Neodiprion lecontei: one gene and its partner. The protein of the gene in region 2 purifies or fractionates together with the protein of the main gene of each other region. This does not show direct contact. Links are inferred from orthologs where the notes say so. Each region holds a gene or a part of one and is shown on either strand. Other genes may lie near its edges. The genes, in order: ubiquitin-associated domain-containing protein 1 and E3 ubiquitin-protein ligase RNF123.

Region 1 (7,262 bases), on a different chromosome or scaffold from region 2:
AAGGAGGAGAACTTCGTCAACCATATTGTCTCTCAAAGTTCGAGACGAAGTTGATAGAAACTTTCCCGAACTTAGAGATATTTTATGGCTAAATGTCTTAGGTGAAATTCCCAGTTTCTTGACTGATATAGATTTTGTTAGAACAATCATTTCTAATCTGAATAGCAAATTTTCTAATCATTTCGTTGAACCACTTTTGGAACTGATAACACCCAGCATAAGGGATGACGTCAGGGAAAATCTTATTCATTTTATCAGTATTTATACAGCAGGGCAAAATATTGAAGACCAGACTGAATTAGTTGGTAACGAAAATGTCAAAACCATCAATGATTTTACTGCATTGTTTGAAGATCATATCAATGAAAATATCAGAAGTGATGAGCGATTGGAACAGTTCAATTTCGAAGATAATATTAAAATAGCAGATCTAACAACCAGAAATTCAAACTGGATACTTGAAAAAGGTACAGTTATTTTATCAACTACGAATTAGTATTTCAGTTTAAACCCAACCACCAGAAGAATATCTAACTATAGGAAAAATGGCATATTTCGTTCAGTTAACTGTAAAACAAATTTATTTTTCGTAGAAAAAAGTGTTGATTGGGGAAGTTGTCCAATTGGAATACTACCGTGGCAGTTGGATTCGATGGACACAGTGGATACAAGTTCGGTGGTCAATATAATAAGTGACACAGGTTCCAAAGATGTTGATATTGTACCAGGAATTATCAATAGTAAAAGTTTAATGATGAGAAGTAAAATAAATTGGAACAGCGTTTTGGGAAAAAAGAAGAGACCAAAGTGGAAAAAAAATCTCGGAAACATTGATAACATGGTCGATATGGCAATTCAAATTGTGAAGAAAAACTGTTGAATTCAAAACGTCCACTTCCGGTGTGTATTATGGACGTTTTTAACAAATTTATATTTCGCAACATGTTCCTTGCACCTAGTTTAATCGAATGTACACCGACTCGCAATGAAGTATGTAGAATTGCCAATAACAAATTTTCCGTAAAATGATTCGTCGTAGCTGAAAGATAGGGCACAAGTAGGTATGCATATGCACTTCCGGGAACTGAGTAAATGCTAATGATTTCAGACAGAGTTTATTTGCTTCAGCGTTTAACAAAGTTTTCTTTCGACATTGAACTTCGCTCGAAAAAAATAGTTTAAAATTATGCATGCCATTTTGAATTGAAATAGGTATATAAACTAGATCTTGAAGGCCCATTTTAATATAAAAATATATTTGTTGGTGTACGCGAGTATACATAATAGTTTGTATACCATTTCATATGCGTAATAGTAGCAATTATTACATGTAAAATTCGTTAAATATCGTTAGGAATAAATATCAAGCACTTTATATACTTTCCTCACAATGATAGTACCTTTTTTACTATTACATATCACTATTTGCTACTGAGTAAGTAACGAACGAATAGCATAAATACTTTAACGATAATTTATATTTTGTTTTAATATTGACTAGAATGAACTTTAACATGCCAGGCAGTTAATAACAGTAACTTATCTTCAACGTATCATGAATTATATTTAAAATTTTTTAAATTTGTACTAGGCATTATAATTCTTTTTTTTTTTTCATTTTTTTTCTGTGATTCTGAAACAGTTTCTATACTCTGCTACTGTTAGCTCTCAACAAAACGATTCATGTGAATAGCATGTTTTTCCGCATGGTAGGTTTTGAAAATTTGGCTCAACACTGGTGAAGCTTCTGGGTCATTTATCCAGATATTCGCTGACATTGGACTCTCTAGCATCGATAAGTATGCTGAAAGGTGTAAATTTTATTCTCAAGTATTTGGCATTCAGTAACTCTCGAATATAATCTCATAGAAAACGTCGTTTGTTTTTTGACTCACCTAGTAACATTTTTGGACTGGTGAGACTGAGTTGTATGTGAGGGTTTGACATAATTGCTTTATAAATTGGCCCGTCAGGGTCCAGGCCTTCGTCCAAATCTTCTAAGCTAGGGCGTCTCTCACCTAAGAGCCATTCGCACTGAAAATATAAACAACTCTTGAAGAATTTGACATCGATGGTAAAAAATCTGCTTTTGCTTTGACATTTAATGTGAATTTAAAACTCATTTTGGTGTTGACACACAAAAAAAAAAAATCACAATTATGCCAATGATCATTTTCTATGTTTTAATCGTTATGAAATTGAAGTTGAGTGTCAATAATATTTGTTACTAATTTTTCTCGAATGTTTTAGGTTAAACAAGAATTGATGAAAATCTTAAAATACTCAGTAATATAGTAGAATAGAAAATCTAGCAACGTACTGCATTTGGTTGATTATTTCCAGTGACTTTCAGTGCTTCTATGATTTTCTTCTCCTCAAACCCCATCTCTTGAAGTGAGGATATCACCCTCGTGTTTGGTTTGAAATCGAGTTTTTTGAACTGACGAAAAGACTCTAACAGCAGAGCGACGACGTTAATCAAGTTTGGCTCTCTCTTGGAACTCTGACTACCTGTTCAATAATTACCCAGCATTGAGTTGAGGACAATATTCATATTCTGAATAAATTATCGCCTCGAGACTTAATCAGAGCGAATTTTCGGTAAAGAGGAACGTATTAAATTCAACTTGCCTATGCGGTAAGAGTACATGCCATAAAGCAGTCGTAAGTTGAGCAAGTTAGCTAAACTGCAACATTACCTCCTTTGAATAAATCGACACATGCTTCCTTGAGACTTCTCCTTCTGCCCGAAGTTCCTGAGGAACTAGGTCCTCCTGTATCCACATCTAGGCTCGCGTCTAACGATGGTAGCTCAAAATCTTCTTCATCTGGATCATCTCCATGCTCTATGAGCCACTCAAGTGCTTCAGAAGTATTCATCCTTACCAATGATGAATAAACAAGTAAGGAAAAGAAATTTGCACATTCATGCAATGATGCTAATGTTACTTACTTCCTGAGCCGTAGAGCTTTCAATACTTTCTTCTCCGAGAAGCCCATATCCATGAGATATTTAACAGACTTGGGATCATTTGGCGGTTTGCATCTGGTCTCCCATCTTTCCCTAATTACTTCATAAATTTTAGCTGCTTCAGGACTATGATTTAAAATCTTTGCAGAAGTTTGGACCAGTGTGATGAGAATCTTTCTTATTTCATTCTGAAACTGTCCATGTTGTGCGTTTAATCATTGTATTTTACTCAATACTTATCATTAGCCTAATAATTATTAGCACACTTTCTTACCTCGATAAACTTTTCAAAATCTTTCTAATAAAACATAGTTTTCTAAGAATAAAACAATACTACAAAACTCATATTTTATCATTATGAAATATTTACATCAGCTGGGCAATCGGCACTGGGCGCAGGTCGTGATGGGTTTTTAATTGGAAGTCCTGCCGTGATTCGAGCTATCACCTCCTCACTGGGTCCTTTTAGAATCTCTTCTGTTAGATTTTCTTTTATTATAACTGGATGGATCTCAACCATCAGCAACTCATCTGAAACAAAAAATCACCAGAAATCATCGAAGGAAACTGACATTGAACCAGCCTCAATCATTTTCCAAAATTCGATTTTGCTATTGAAGTGAAACTTCTTTAGCAGGGATAATAACAGAATGTTGTAAAACGCGATGTTTTGAAACGCACTGCAATGAAATGTGCTGCTATGAAACGTAATGTTTTGACACGTACCACTATATAAAGCACTGTTATGAAACGCAAACTACACACAGGATTACCTATCCTCAGTCTCCTCTCTCTGTTACCGAGTTGTTGAAGCCATGGTGAATCACTTATATAAATTGCAGAAGTATCACTTCTGTTGCACACGTTTTTTTTACGTCTTTAGCAATATCCTATTCAATTTACTTCCAAATTTTGCGATACTCACCAAACTTTTCAATGCCCTCTTCCTCTGCTTTTTTTTCATCAGATAACGATTTTAGTTTTGTTGCATGAACTAATCTAAAGCATGATGAAGGCTTTGATGTGTCTTGTCCATAAAAGTGTTTAGTTGCGACTGCTTTAATTTTTTCTATAGTAAAGTCTGGCTTGATGTTGATGCCAAACACATGGCCCTCCAAACTGAAAATATTATTGTGGTGATTACGATCTGTTCCTTCATTCTTGAACATGACGAATGTACCTAAGTAATCTCTCAAATTTGGGTACATTAAACATAGCGGTTATTCTGCTCGACATTTAAAATTGGTGAACTTTATAATACAACCACCAAAACTTCTCTACACAATAATGTAGTAACTAGTTAAATGTTTAATATCTTTAACCTGAGTAATGATATTATTATATACAATATTTTCTGATACTTAATTCTATATAACTGTGAAAATCCTATTCAAAATCGCCAGGGCAATTGAGAAAATGGATATTAACCCCTCGCCGTACCATTTAGTTCGGCAAGATCTGAGCCCAAGCAATATGAGACGATGCGCGCTAAATAGGCTAGAGTGATGCTGAAAACAGCTGCAATATGAGCCTAATCTTCAGTCTACGTGTCTGACTCGTGATCTTCATGTTTGATACGAAATATGTATCACGAGTCAGATTCGTCAAAGTACGGCAGAGGGTTAAGAAAATTTAAATTCACATTTGTTTTTATTACATTCTATCTATTTTCTCATGTAGTATTTGTTAAATATTATTCTCTTTCAAATGTAATATAAAGCGATAATAGAAATAGTGGCAACTTGTACGCACATGGTGGCTTTTCACTGATTTTCAGAATATTGTTTTTAAACCGAAAGGAAGTAGAGTACACTTTTTCATAACTTCATAGTACGAGAGTGCATGGTCGAATGGTTTTTTTTATAGGTAATGAAATGCAAACCTGATAATGTTAACTGAGAAACTCTCAGGGATTGACTGTGGTGACACAAACATTGTAACACCTGAATTTCTAGAGGGATTTCCTGGGTCCGCAGAAGAGAGAGCCGAGGAGCGCCTCCCGGCTTCTCGAGAGCTCCGTCTGCTACTCCAGGCTTCCAGTATTTGTCCACGCATCCATGGAAACATCAAGTAGCCCTGGACAATAAAAAAACTAATACGTATGTTGTCCAATTTTTCGGGAGTTTAAAGCAGCGTTCGAATACACGTGTCTTTGATCACAGGGTAGTTCTAGTATTAGGTGATTTATGAGTGTTATTTTACATCGTCGTCAAGTCAGAGTTAATCGTTAATCCATAACTGACTATTCATTTCTCAATATGAAAGATTTAGGTTAAGCCAGATTAGAGTGCTCAAGTACGCGAAGTTGACATATTCCGGATACAGCGCGAGTGCAACACGATTACGCTAAATTTTTTACTTCCGATGGCAATAAAAATACCTTGACCTTAAAATTCTGGTAGTCGTTATTTTACCTTGAATATTTCCGTTCGTATTATTTTGACGTTTGCCCGCAACGGCGGCCATTTGCACGCAGTTTAAACAGTGTTGCCAACTCAGATTGTCATAATCCAGCTTGGGTCCTTGTGGCCTTGTAAAATCGCGCCAAAAACCGCCATTAATATTCATAATTATTCCAACAACTTTTCATTTGCTCTCTCGATCTTGAATTTTCGTAGGCATAGAATCGAAACGCTGTTTTAGCTAGTCGCAATTGAAGTATCTACGTTTGGTAGAGAAGCAGACTCGTTTTTCGAAAAGTGTTCGTATGGGAAAAAAATTCAGAGTAACTGTAATACATCACGGATGCGCTAATTTTGATCGAGATGACATGGATGCTCCGTATATGAGACAGTATTTAACGCAGTGTCCTGCTTTAAAGACCTAAAAAGGTGATTGTCGGCGATTTTTTTTTCTTTGATAGAGAGAGATAGAACGAAGCTTCTTAATACTTCGAGTGTATTTTAAAACACATTTGAAAGGTACGAGCAAAAGTTTTTATCATACAACTGTCGCAGAACGGCAGCGTTATTAGCTGACCCGTTGACTAAAGAATATATCTTTAGTCAACAGCTGACCATCGATGGGCCTAGCCGATTGAGTCTGGAATCGGCAAGGAAGATAAAGTGCGTATTTCTTGTCCGAAATGTAAGAACTAAAATCATTATACATCATATCTTATCATCATACGTCATACATCATACATCATACATAGTATTGAAGTTCGAAACCAAAGTTTGGATGTTCGGATGTTCAGAAAGTCAAAATTTTTTTTCTCTTGACGTCTTCAATCTATAGTGATCAGCTAGCCGAATTCCTCAGTCTGGAAACAACCGCGCGGTAGAGAGGACGTACGAGAATCGCGCTCCGCAGATTTCGAGTACCGGGTTCTTTACCTCCTGGATTCTGCGCTCCGGGTCCGTTTCGTGGCGCAACTCGAGTTCCAGGAGTAGCGCTCGGTAGTTTCTGTGCTCCAGGTCCGCTGCCTGGTGCTACTCGAGTTCCAGGAGAAGCGCGCGGTAGTTTCCATGCTCCAGGTCCGCTACCTGGTGAAACTCGACTTTCAGGACAAGTGCTCCGTAGTTTCTGCGCTCCAGGTCCAGTACCTGTTGAAACTCGACTTCCAGGACAAGCGCTACGTAGTTCTGACTGTCCAGGTTCTTGACCTGGTGACTTTTGACCTTCCGGACTAATTTTCAAGTTTACAAGTTTGATTATTGAAAACGTCATGTTTTGTACCATCAAACCAAAATGCATGTTTCAGATAACACTTTGAATCGGAAAAAACCGAGCGACCAGGACCAACAAATTGCAATTGGTGAGTGTTTGGCATTATATAGGTACATAGGAATAGATGAAAATAACGTCGTTCAATTAGAGCTAAAATTGCTGTGGTTAGTGTATCAGATCTGTTAGCACTTAGCTGGTTGTTCTGTGGTATTTTTTGTGGAAATTTATTATCATAAAATCACAATACGTTGTACTTACATGCATCTGTAAACGTGATTTGTAGTATTATATAGAAAAAATCTTACGAGCAGATTCGGTTTACGTCACATGCGCGAAGACGGTGTTCATTCTGTATACTGTGAAGCCAATACCAGAATTTTTTGGGGAGTCATCGTATCCCAGTCTCCCCTACAACTGTGTTATGTGTTAAAACACTGACAACGAGTAAGCGAGCGCACGAGCAGAAAAATCAGTTACACTAGGCATCCGACCACGAGCGAGCTTTAGCGAGCGAGTGTTTTAAAACTTGTTATTTTTAATTCGCGCACCATTCTATTATCGGTGTACCAAAATAACCCAAAAGGCAGTGATCTCGTGTTAATTGTCGAGCTCAAAGGTAAAA
Region 2 (9,151 bases):
AAATATAAGTGATTTTATTGGTAATTATAATATTATAGTGTGAAACTTTTTATAATAATTATCAAATTCAGACTGACATTTTTGTAATGAACTATAGAACCATTGTGATCTCACTACCTACCTATTTTGATAATAAATATTTGCCTTTCATCACTCCGAGTATTATTCATCCAATTTTCTTTGAGACGCTGAAAGGAATTATGGATTGCTGATCGAGTACCTTGGTGGGTAAAATTTATTTTTGCTCATCTAATTTATAAACAATATTTGCAACGACACCCACGTCAAGCCAGTCATGAAATGTAAAAAACTATATGAGAAATTGTATGCTTGGATAAGTTTGTTCTTTGCATACAATTTATAAACATGTCACCTTATTTTTTATCATAACACCGCAAAATTCAGGATCTGTCAGTGGTGATCTTTTCCAGCAAGTAGTCACTAGTGAAGTCATGTAACAATTCCCCTTCAAGATCTGTAACTTGGTTTATGGTAGCTTTGCAAAAAAAACATTCTCTACTGTTCAATAAATGGTGAGCGATGCAGGCTCGGCATGAACGGTGATTGCATGGTTTGAATGTCGCAGAGATCGTATACGCGTAACAAATTGTACAAATATTCTCGTCGTCGGTCAATACTTTGGTCTCAGTTAACATTGTTCTATTCAAGTCCAAGTATCTGAGCATCTCCCTTACACTGTTTATCTCCTGTTCGGTGACGTCCTCTTTATCTAAAAAATGTCAATGAAATGTGATCAGTGAATTTTTCAAATTCTTTCACCAATTTGAAGTTACTAAGTCTTAAGGTATGTTTGAAACAACGGATTGATGAAAAATACCGAGCATCGAATATAGGCGTATTACTTAAAGTTACTCACAGTTTTGAAGGCAAAATGGCTTTATATTCTTGATCTTCTGATTCTTCGGTTTCAAGTCTCCGAGGATAAAGTAAAGCGAGCCAATTTGGAAGCTGGGCTCAGTAAGTAGGGCTCTAGTTACTTTTGGAATTTCTCTGCGTCCGGCTGTAAGTACAATATGCAGAGTGTGTCTACTGATGGTTTTCGATAGTTGATTAGCCTCAGTTCGTACTTTATATTTTAGCAATTACTTTTGAATGTTGATACGTCCTCCTTGAGCAAAATCAGCAGAATTCCAACAACTGCGGTAAGAATTGGGAAGTGGTCAACGGTTTCCAAGTCTGGAATATCGAGTAGCACAACGTGCTGAAAGCAACCGGACTGCGAGCTGACACGATTCAGTATTTGGCAGAGCAGCTGCGAGTGTCCAAACCATAAAATTAACGATTGAATTCATGCCTGTAGGGGATCAAGGAATAGGAGATGAAATATAATTTATTGACGGTGTATTACCTGGCACAGCCTGGCAAGTAGATTTTCACTGGAGGCTTGAGAATCGTCAGTAAAAACGCCGGGTGCCAGAGTAGCAATCATCTCCAGCACCCTCAGCAAAGAAATGGCCAGATCGAAGCAGGTTGCGCATATTTTAAGTTGGCGTGACTCGATTAGGACGCGTTCTGGTCTTGAAGACACGTTTTGGATCTCTTGCAGCATCCCAATGAACTCTGAGAAAGCCCAGTTAAGCTGGTTCAGAAGCGAGTTCAAAAACTGCGTCGTTGTTGTTGGATTTGACAAAAGAGCGTCCCTTACGTGAGCCTGGTATATCAGAGAAGGACATGGCTCTGTGGAAAAGAAACCGAAATGTGACGAAACTTTCTGACCAGTTCTTTATCAGCCATTCAATAATACGTACTATCGCTATAAACTTACTTATAGGCTGCGATATTGACTCTTGCTGAAGCATCTTGGGTCCGATCTTTTTCGCGAGATGTGGACTCTTCTCGTATCGGAAAGCGAATCCGCAGCCCTGCCAGAATCTGACTAATACCCAGTTGGACTGAGCCCAAGCTCTGTTCTCATAGGGCCGTAAAAGACTGTTTACGACTTTGACCCTCGACTCGATCGGGACTCTTTCGAGGGGTCCAAGAGTCAGAGAGTTTGAAACGTATCCTGCTAAGGTGAGGATGAGAGTGTCCTTTGCATTCGCGTGAATAATCCGTGGATCGAGGAAGTGATCACACAGGAACCGTGCAACCTCGACTAGCATCTCTTGATACTCAGGAATGTCTTCAATTGGGGCGGTTGGATGTACATGGTTCCTGATCCCAACACTGAGGTCGGTCATGGCCTCGAGGTAGAAGTCAGGCACGAAGCTGAACATGTTGCCCTCCTCACTCGCGGACGTTAGAGTCAAGGTGACCACTCTCAGCAGCCATGCAAGCTGCGCTTGTTTTTCCTTGGAGTAAACGGCCGCCCTGACCCACGCCATGTGCCTCGCCTGCTCGGCGAGCTTAGTGTCGAAGACTACCATTGTCCTTGCGAGTTCGCGGTTCATCGCAGCAGCATCGGGGTCCTTCGGCTGCTTCTTGGTAATCTCTAGACGAGCCTTAACTTCGGCCATTGCAGTGATGTACTCGGCCATGCTTTCACGAAGGCTGGCGACCTTAGCAATCTGTCTCTTCGCCGCGACGTGATAAAATAGTATTATCCCATCGAGAAGCTCTAGGAGGGACATTGCTGGGTTGGCCGGCCCCAGCCGCAACGGTGTCCTGTCCTCCCGGCTGTAAGGGAAGTAGCCAAGCCTTTCCAAGATCATGGGACTCGCCGGGCCCGACGAATTGACTGTCACCATTCTCGCAAAGGCAGGGATTGCAAGAGGAAGTTCACCTAAACGTGCTGGTCCACCGGAAAAAGGATTCGACGGATCTTGTGCCTGCTCCATTGCAACTAGCACCTCGTGTTCAGGACCGAGAAGATGCAGAAGCTCGTTCTTGTAGGTTTTGTTCAGGTGTGAAAGGACCCCACCGAGTCTGTCTATCCCCGCGAAATTTATAGACGCGTCGTAGAAGGCTCTGCGATAAAGAACAGTCTTAGAGTATTAATGCGATTCAATATATGGGGAGTTTTTACCTGCATGGCACGTATACTGGATGCGAAGCGATTTCTGCGTCCCACAGCACCCTGAAGGCAACCAGCAGCCGGTGGAAACAGCAAAGAGTAATGGGCAGCGGGGTCTGGAGCACCGGCATCGTCTGTAGGAATTCGGACTGAATGCTTGGGTTTATACAAGCCGCATTGCGGCGACTCGCTAAAAGCTCCGACTTACGCGACTTGAGATCAAGTTCTCTTGGACGAAGCGGCGAAACTTCTTGAGGAAGATTGTTCGCGACGTAGGCGAGTATGGAGTTCCGTCGTTGTTGTCCAATAGCGTGACAAGCAGCTCAACCTGAAGTGCCTCGACCTCTTCAAGAATTAAAGGATGACAACTAATCAGTCTTCATGCTATCGGTATAATACGGGGGTATCAAGTGAAACCATGTAACATTTTTTTTCTAGCCCTCAAGTGCATGAGTACGCTCATCGCGGAAATGGTCAATCACTATGCGTCCGTAGCCGTCTTAAGATGTTCAATAGAAACACCCGCATTCGCACAAGGGACAAGGGCAACTGCAGAAAACGTTGCCCATGTGTAGTGGGACTATATGCAAACCTCAGCTTGTCGATTTGATACCTGACCGACATCACCCGTCTAACAATCTTGCGAGTAGTCGCTCAGGTCCTCATCGATACGCTGAGGATTTGAACTAAAGTCCTCCCGTTCAGCAAGTCTCGAACGCTACGTGCTACGCTACTACGGTCGGTTCATCAAACTTCCCAAAAAGTGAAAGACCAGCAGCATCAAACACACTTTTCAACCGTTCTGAACATACCGGAAATAGCGCTCTTGATGCGGTCACAGGCGTGAAGATACTGCTTCCTATTGACTTCTACGGCCCCATCAACGGGGTCAGTTTCCCACCAAGTACTACCGACGACCTCTGCGAGTCCACTCTCATCCAGAGGCTTAACATGGACGAAGTTAGCAAAGCGAACCCTGTCGAAAAGGATGTGCTGCAAAAGATGTTGCCTCGTCGCAGTGTGCTGGCAGAGATTCGTTAGAAGAATCAGGCTCCTGCACTGGTCAGGATACTCGAGTTGAAGGGATACGTGCCGAAATGAAGAGAGAAGATAGACCACGGTGCTCTCAAGGCAGGACTTCATCTCTTCGTCCTCCAGGAACGTCCAAAGAAGATCGAGGCAGATTCGGACGCGACTCGAATCGGCACCTTTTGCCGGACTTTCGCCAGCGCCAGACAGCTCCCTTAGAAAGCGAACAAAGACGGCCTCTGTCACGTAAGGTATCGCCAAAAGTGGTCCTAGATTTTTGAGGATAGCTCTTGCCAGAGAGGCAAGAAAAGCGTTGCAGCTCATGGTCTCGGAGAAGGGCACTTTACCCTCTTCATCATCGTCATCTTCGACCATGGACTCACGTCCGTTATCGATCAGAAGTATCACCTTCCTGAGCCACTCGAACACAAGAATTGCTTTACTGACTTGATCGGCTGGGGATGCCTGAGGAGTTTCATATCCTTGAACCGGGTAACGCAGAGGTGTCGAGCCAAAGTTAGCCGTCAGATTTTCGGTGAACGCCAGGCTGACTGTGGGAAAGTAGGCCATTCCAGCACCCGTGCAGATCCCCCCGAACGCTTTTCCCATAGACCTCCCGTTTCTGTAGAATTCCACGTCTCCCTGGTCAAGGTCCAGAGCGCAGCCGATTATATCGCCGGAGAGCCAGGGCTCCCCATACTTGTGGGTCGTTACGTTCCATCTTCGAACCCGATTCCCATCGTAGGCATACGAGTTTATGGTGTCGCCTAAAAATCGTACGGAAATCGGGTTCAATTACAAATTGAAAAATAGACGCCACTGTCTTTCGCTGGCTCGCTAGACTCTCTCGTCGCCGTCGTCGCCGTATGATTACCATTCTGTCAGTATTGAGGAGTAAAACCGCCTCGACAAGAGCGACCGAGAGAATCTGACGGATGCTCGCGAGTAACAATTAGGGATATCGAGGACCGTGGACTATTTCACAAAGTTTGGCACTATAGCTAGCGACAAAGGTGGCGTAAAAGTAGCGTTATTCTTGCGTTTGCCAAGGTTGCCAACAATCGGTTATTTTGGATGTTCCTCACGAGAAGATCGCTATTTTCGCGTCGACTTTGCCGTTATAGCGTTAATGAACAAGCCCGCAGAAGAATCCCCGGGAACGCACCGACGCCTGACTCTTGGCTAAACTTGCACTGAGCCGTTCCCCAGCCCACCTGCATGACTCCCTTCGAGCCTAGCTGGAGTTCGTACATCCACTTGCCGGCGAAGAGACCGACGTTTGCCCTCATCGTGCTAAAGTTACTCTGAGAATTGACGCTCAATCTATCCGGAGATACGATGAAGAGACCGTGGTGCGTGGAGACGTCGAAACGCACAATTCTCGGCCCTATTCGACCGGGTCTCGCGTCTTCCTCTACCATTGACGATGAGGCCGACTCATTTTCACCCGACAGCACCATTTTCATGAAATCATTCGCCGTTCCAAGATACCGAACCACCCTAAGTTGTGTGGGAAAATATCATTAGCACAGAATATCTTTGTAAAAAGTGCATAGCGACATTTATTCATCGCGCATAAGTACCTCGCATATCCCGATTTCTCCGGAAGCTTTCCGCGATCTTTGGTATCCTTTGCCGCGCTTTCCTCGGCTAGCACACCTGGTCCAAATACGTTTCGAAGTATCTCTGCCATGTTCATTTCGTCACTCCGTTCGATCGTGCCGATCTGAATTAAATCGCTCCTTTGATCATTTAGGTAAAGCTGATCGTGAGATGCTGTTGATTATTGTACAGTTATTAGAGACTCACGATTCCTTATTGTTAGAGGAAAATTTCTTATAAGCAAAACACTAGAGTACGAAAAAACTACGCTGTAGTTACCAGATTTCACCGAAATTTTGCCAGTTTTAAAAACGCAACATTTACTTCAAGATGATTGTGCGGGGGATCAAGTCTGTTACTCTTTTTTAAATTTGTCACATTATAGATATGCGCTAAACCAATCGGAAAGAGTTCCCACGTATGCTTTTGAGATAAGCTGCATCTCATTTACTTGTTTACGCAACATTGAAATAACGAGAAATACGTTACCTACACAATATTATTTATTTTTTATTCTATAATCCCTAACACCGATGGACGTATAAATATTATACTATACTATTGCTCGAAGCACTGTGTACATATATTCGTAAAGCACTGTAGATTGCGTAAGCATAAGATTGTAGGGTCCTAAAACCTTAATGATTATAAATAAAAATCACAAGATAAAAACACTTGCCTAATTGAGGATCGTTGGAGTTCTCTTCATTCAGTTTTTGAATTATCTTCCAAAAACCTTATCAATTTGTCGATGTGTATTAGGTTCCTCGTGTCAACGGCTACTCGTTAATTGGCATCCTTTTTTTACGTTAATTACTTTCGGATTAGAAAAGCTCATGTAGGCGTAATCGGAGGTGTTTCAACGCCGGTGTTTGTCCGTGATGCTTTTCCGGCGGAATAATTTACCGCGATTTGGGCAGCTCGCGCGTGGATGATTTTGCCACCATTTTAGCTCAAGGTGACAGCACACGAAAAACCGAATATAAAAAAAGAAAAATATCTCGGTCGTAATCACCAAACGTCGAAACGCTCATGCGCAAATCGTTCTGGCGCCGACGCGCCCGAAATTATTTGCAGCTGTATGGATATATTCCAAGACGCATGCGTACCTTAGACCTCTTGGTAAAACGCACTGTTTCACTTTTGAATTTTTTCTGCTCTCACCCGCATGATATTCTAGATACGAAAATACGATACGATTTATCAATTACGGTAAAGAAATTTCGTTGTTTAGTTGGACACGAATGAAATGATAATTCTTTGAGAAAAAAAAAAAAAAATGTCTTTCGACAATTTTTAAAATCTACTAATGCTTTTCGTATACAGCTGGCAAGTGTGAAAATCAAAATACAACTCACTACTTCTCTGGTTGAGTAATCCATATAGTCTGCGTACGTTTGTTTATTATAATTATTTCTGGCTTTGTTATTACCACTATCCATAGTATTGTTGTTATTATTATAACTATAGTTGACGAGGCTTATGATAATCGTAGGGATACAAGTATGTACGAATATGGTGCATAATAACATATATAAATATAGATTAGGTTTTCTCACTTTCTTAAAATCATCAACACGATGTATAATAATTATAGTAACTGGATCATGATGATAAAATTAATTTACTTAAAATCAATGCGGTTTATATTATATGCGTATGTAGTTTTAATCACAATTAAAACAATTCAAGGTGTGTAGAAAAATGACTATACAGAGACGATAATTATTAATCAAAATTTATGAATTATTAAAATATGAATATTATAAAGACTTTTCGCAGAACCGATAAACCAGCCTATAACACATCGAGTCTTTATTGGTTTTGGTAATGATCTTGACGAAGGGATGAAAAGTAGGAAGGGTATAAGGGCTGTGAATGAGTGAGAATGAGCGGGTCTGACTTTGGTATGTTTTCAACCAGGATTGGTCATCAGTTCTTGCACCCACGACAATATTTATACAATTAATAATAATTATTCAATTTAAAAACTGTAATAGTATTAATAATAATACATGTAACGTATTTTCGTATGCAAGTTATAATTATCATTAATTATTAATGTAGCTATTGTTAATTTAGACACAACTAGTAATTAGTTGAACCTTATTCAATTGCTTGACTGAATAATCAATAATTATTGAGTAATTAATTAGTCAATGAATTAACTAATACACTTTTCGTGAATATACTTACAAGTGTAGGCGATTACGCTGTATACGATACGAGTATAGGTACTGTGATTTGTGTTATTAAGGATTATTAATGTTATTACGTTGTTTATCAGAGGGCGGTATGATTATAGTATAATGTAGCTGTTGTAAGACAATATAATAATAATGATTCGTTTAATGACAGTACGCCAATATCGCGACGCCCACTATTGTTATACAATTAACTAATAGTTTATAGTGTACGGTATACGGAGTATATTGTGTGGCATTCTTAGTACTCGAGAAGCATGATAAATGTCTGAAGAATTTTTAGTAAAATTTATGAGTATACATTTTCGTAGGCAGAAAAATGTTATTGCAATTTTGAAACTCTAGATCAGCGAATTATTGTATATATTATATTTCGATGACGTGACTGTCTATGTATTACGTTATCACAGGGACGAATTGAATGAGTGCTCTGACATTTCACTGTAATTTCCCCCTAGACTATAACCGGCATTATAATCGTCGAATTTTTCAATGCTACATTTCCACATATCGAACGTATTACTCCGCATCGAACATTGCAGCAATTACGTATACAAATACTTATCTACTTCTATCTAGCATGTATTATTCCTAGGGACTATTATACTAATTGTAAGTATAATATTTGTGCGTGATACGCTTAATCTCTTTATCCTTATTGTTTTTAGCCTAGAGGCTGACTTATTACACAGAATTTCAGTAAAACGCCGCATCACAGTCACACGTGGCATTTTCCGTACGGAATAGAAATATTGAGTACTGAATTTGAATTTCAATCTCTCATTTATAAAACATACAAAATATACATACAATTTCAATTTTTAATAAAATTGTACAATTAAAGCGGAAAATTTTATTACGGTAATTGCAGCAGTGCGCAAAAATTTGAGTAAAATTGTTTCAATTCTTTTTTTTTCATCCAAGGTAAGAAAGATTAAGTAATTTGTGACCGTCATGTGGTAGTTTAACGAGACTCTGTATGATTTACCACCAAATGGAGCCGTGAAGACTCTTGATCCGTTTTTTGTGTCCCTGTATCGATTGAGATCTTATCACGACATTGATAAAACTTTTTACTTATTGTTAAAATACGAACGCGAGGGTAATTATCTACTCCTCTATCCAAGAAATTAAGGAACATCAAACGCGTCTCAACTGAGAATATGATATAATAATATCCATAGATTTCATAGCACATTTTAGGAGGTGTCAAAAATTCTCCCGTAGTTGTGCATAACTAGAATAAAAAACTCGAGTCAATTTTGTAATTTACACATCTGACGTAGGTATTATTTTTCTCTTCTCGACTTGAAGACGATTTACTTGAAAATTTTTCATGATC

What was found.
Region 1: the proteins of E3 ubiquitin-protein ligase RNF123 (region 2) and ubiquitin-associated domain-containing protein 1 purify together in Homo sapiens (affinity purification with mass spectrometry; 7 studies listed by BioGRID and IntAct, counting the BioPlex papers as one, with this or other methods). This does not show direct contact. The link is inferred for Neodiprion lecontei from reciprocal best matches to the Homo sapiens genes RNF123 and UBAC1.

What each region holds. Positions count from the first base shown.
Region 1 is NC_060261.1:28,609,214-28,616,475, reverse strand, and holds ubiquitin-associated domain-containing protein 1, read right to left. Parts: upstream 5,039-7,262; coding exon 4,854-5,038; intron 4,091-4,853; coding exon 3,897-4,090; intron 3,503-3,896; coding exon 3,342-3,502; intron 3,166-3,341; coding exon 2,954-3,165; intron 2,904-2,953; exon of another isoform or gene 2,882-2,903; coding exon 2,700-2,881; exon of another isoform or gene 2,512-2,699; coding exon 2,321-2,511; exon of another isoform or gene 2,035-2,320; coding exon 1,896-2,034; exon of another isoform or gene 1,805-1,895; coding exon 1,662-1,804; 3' UTR 1,540-1,661; downstream 1-1,539. Other genes in the region: uncharacterized protein LOC107225833, read left to right, coding at 1-467, 594-880.
Region 2 is NC_060260.1:40,200,568-40,209,718, forward strand, and holds the start of E3 ubiquitin-protein ligase RNF123, read right to left. Parts: upstream 6,837-9,151; 5' UTR 6,285-6,836; intron 5,780-6,284; exon of another isoform or gene 5,730-5,779; 5' UTR 5,703-5,729; coding exon 5,587-5,702; intron 5,504-5,586; coding exon 5,169-5,503; intron 4,771-5,168; coding exon 3,787-4,770; intron 3,320-3,786; coding exon 3,183-3,319; intron 3,124-3,182; coding exon 2,987-3,123; intron 2,929-2,986; coding exon 1,787-2,928; intron 1,699-1,786; coding exon 1,370-1,698; intron 1,274-1,369; coding exon 1,108-1,273; intron 1,022-1,107; coding exon 878-1,021; intron 731-877; coding exon 402-730; 3' UTR 1-401. UniProt on the Homo sapiens protein: Catalytic subunit of the KPC complex that acts as E3 ubiquitin-protein ligase. Promotes the ubiquitination and proteasome-mediated degradation of CDKN1B which is the cyclin-dependent kinase inhibitor at the G0-G1 transition of the cell cycle.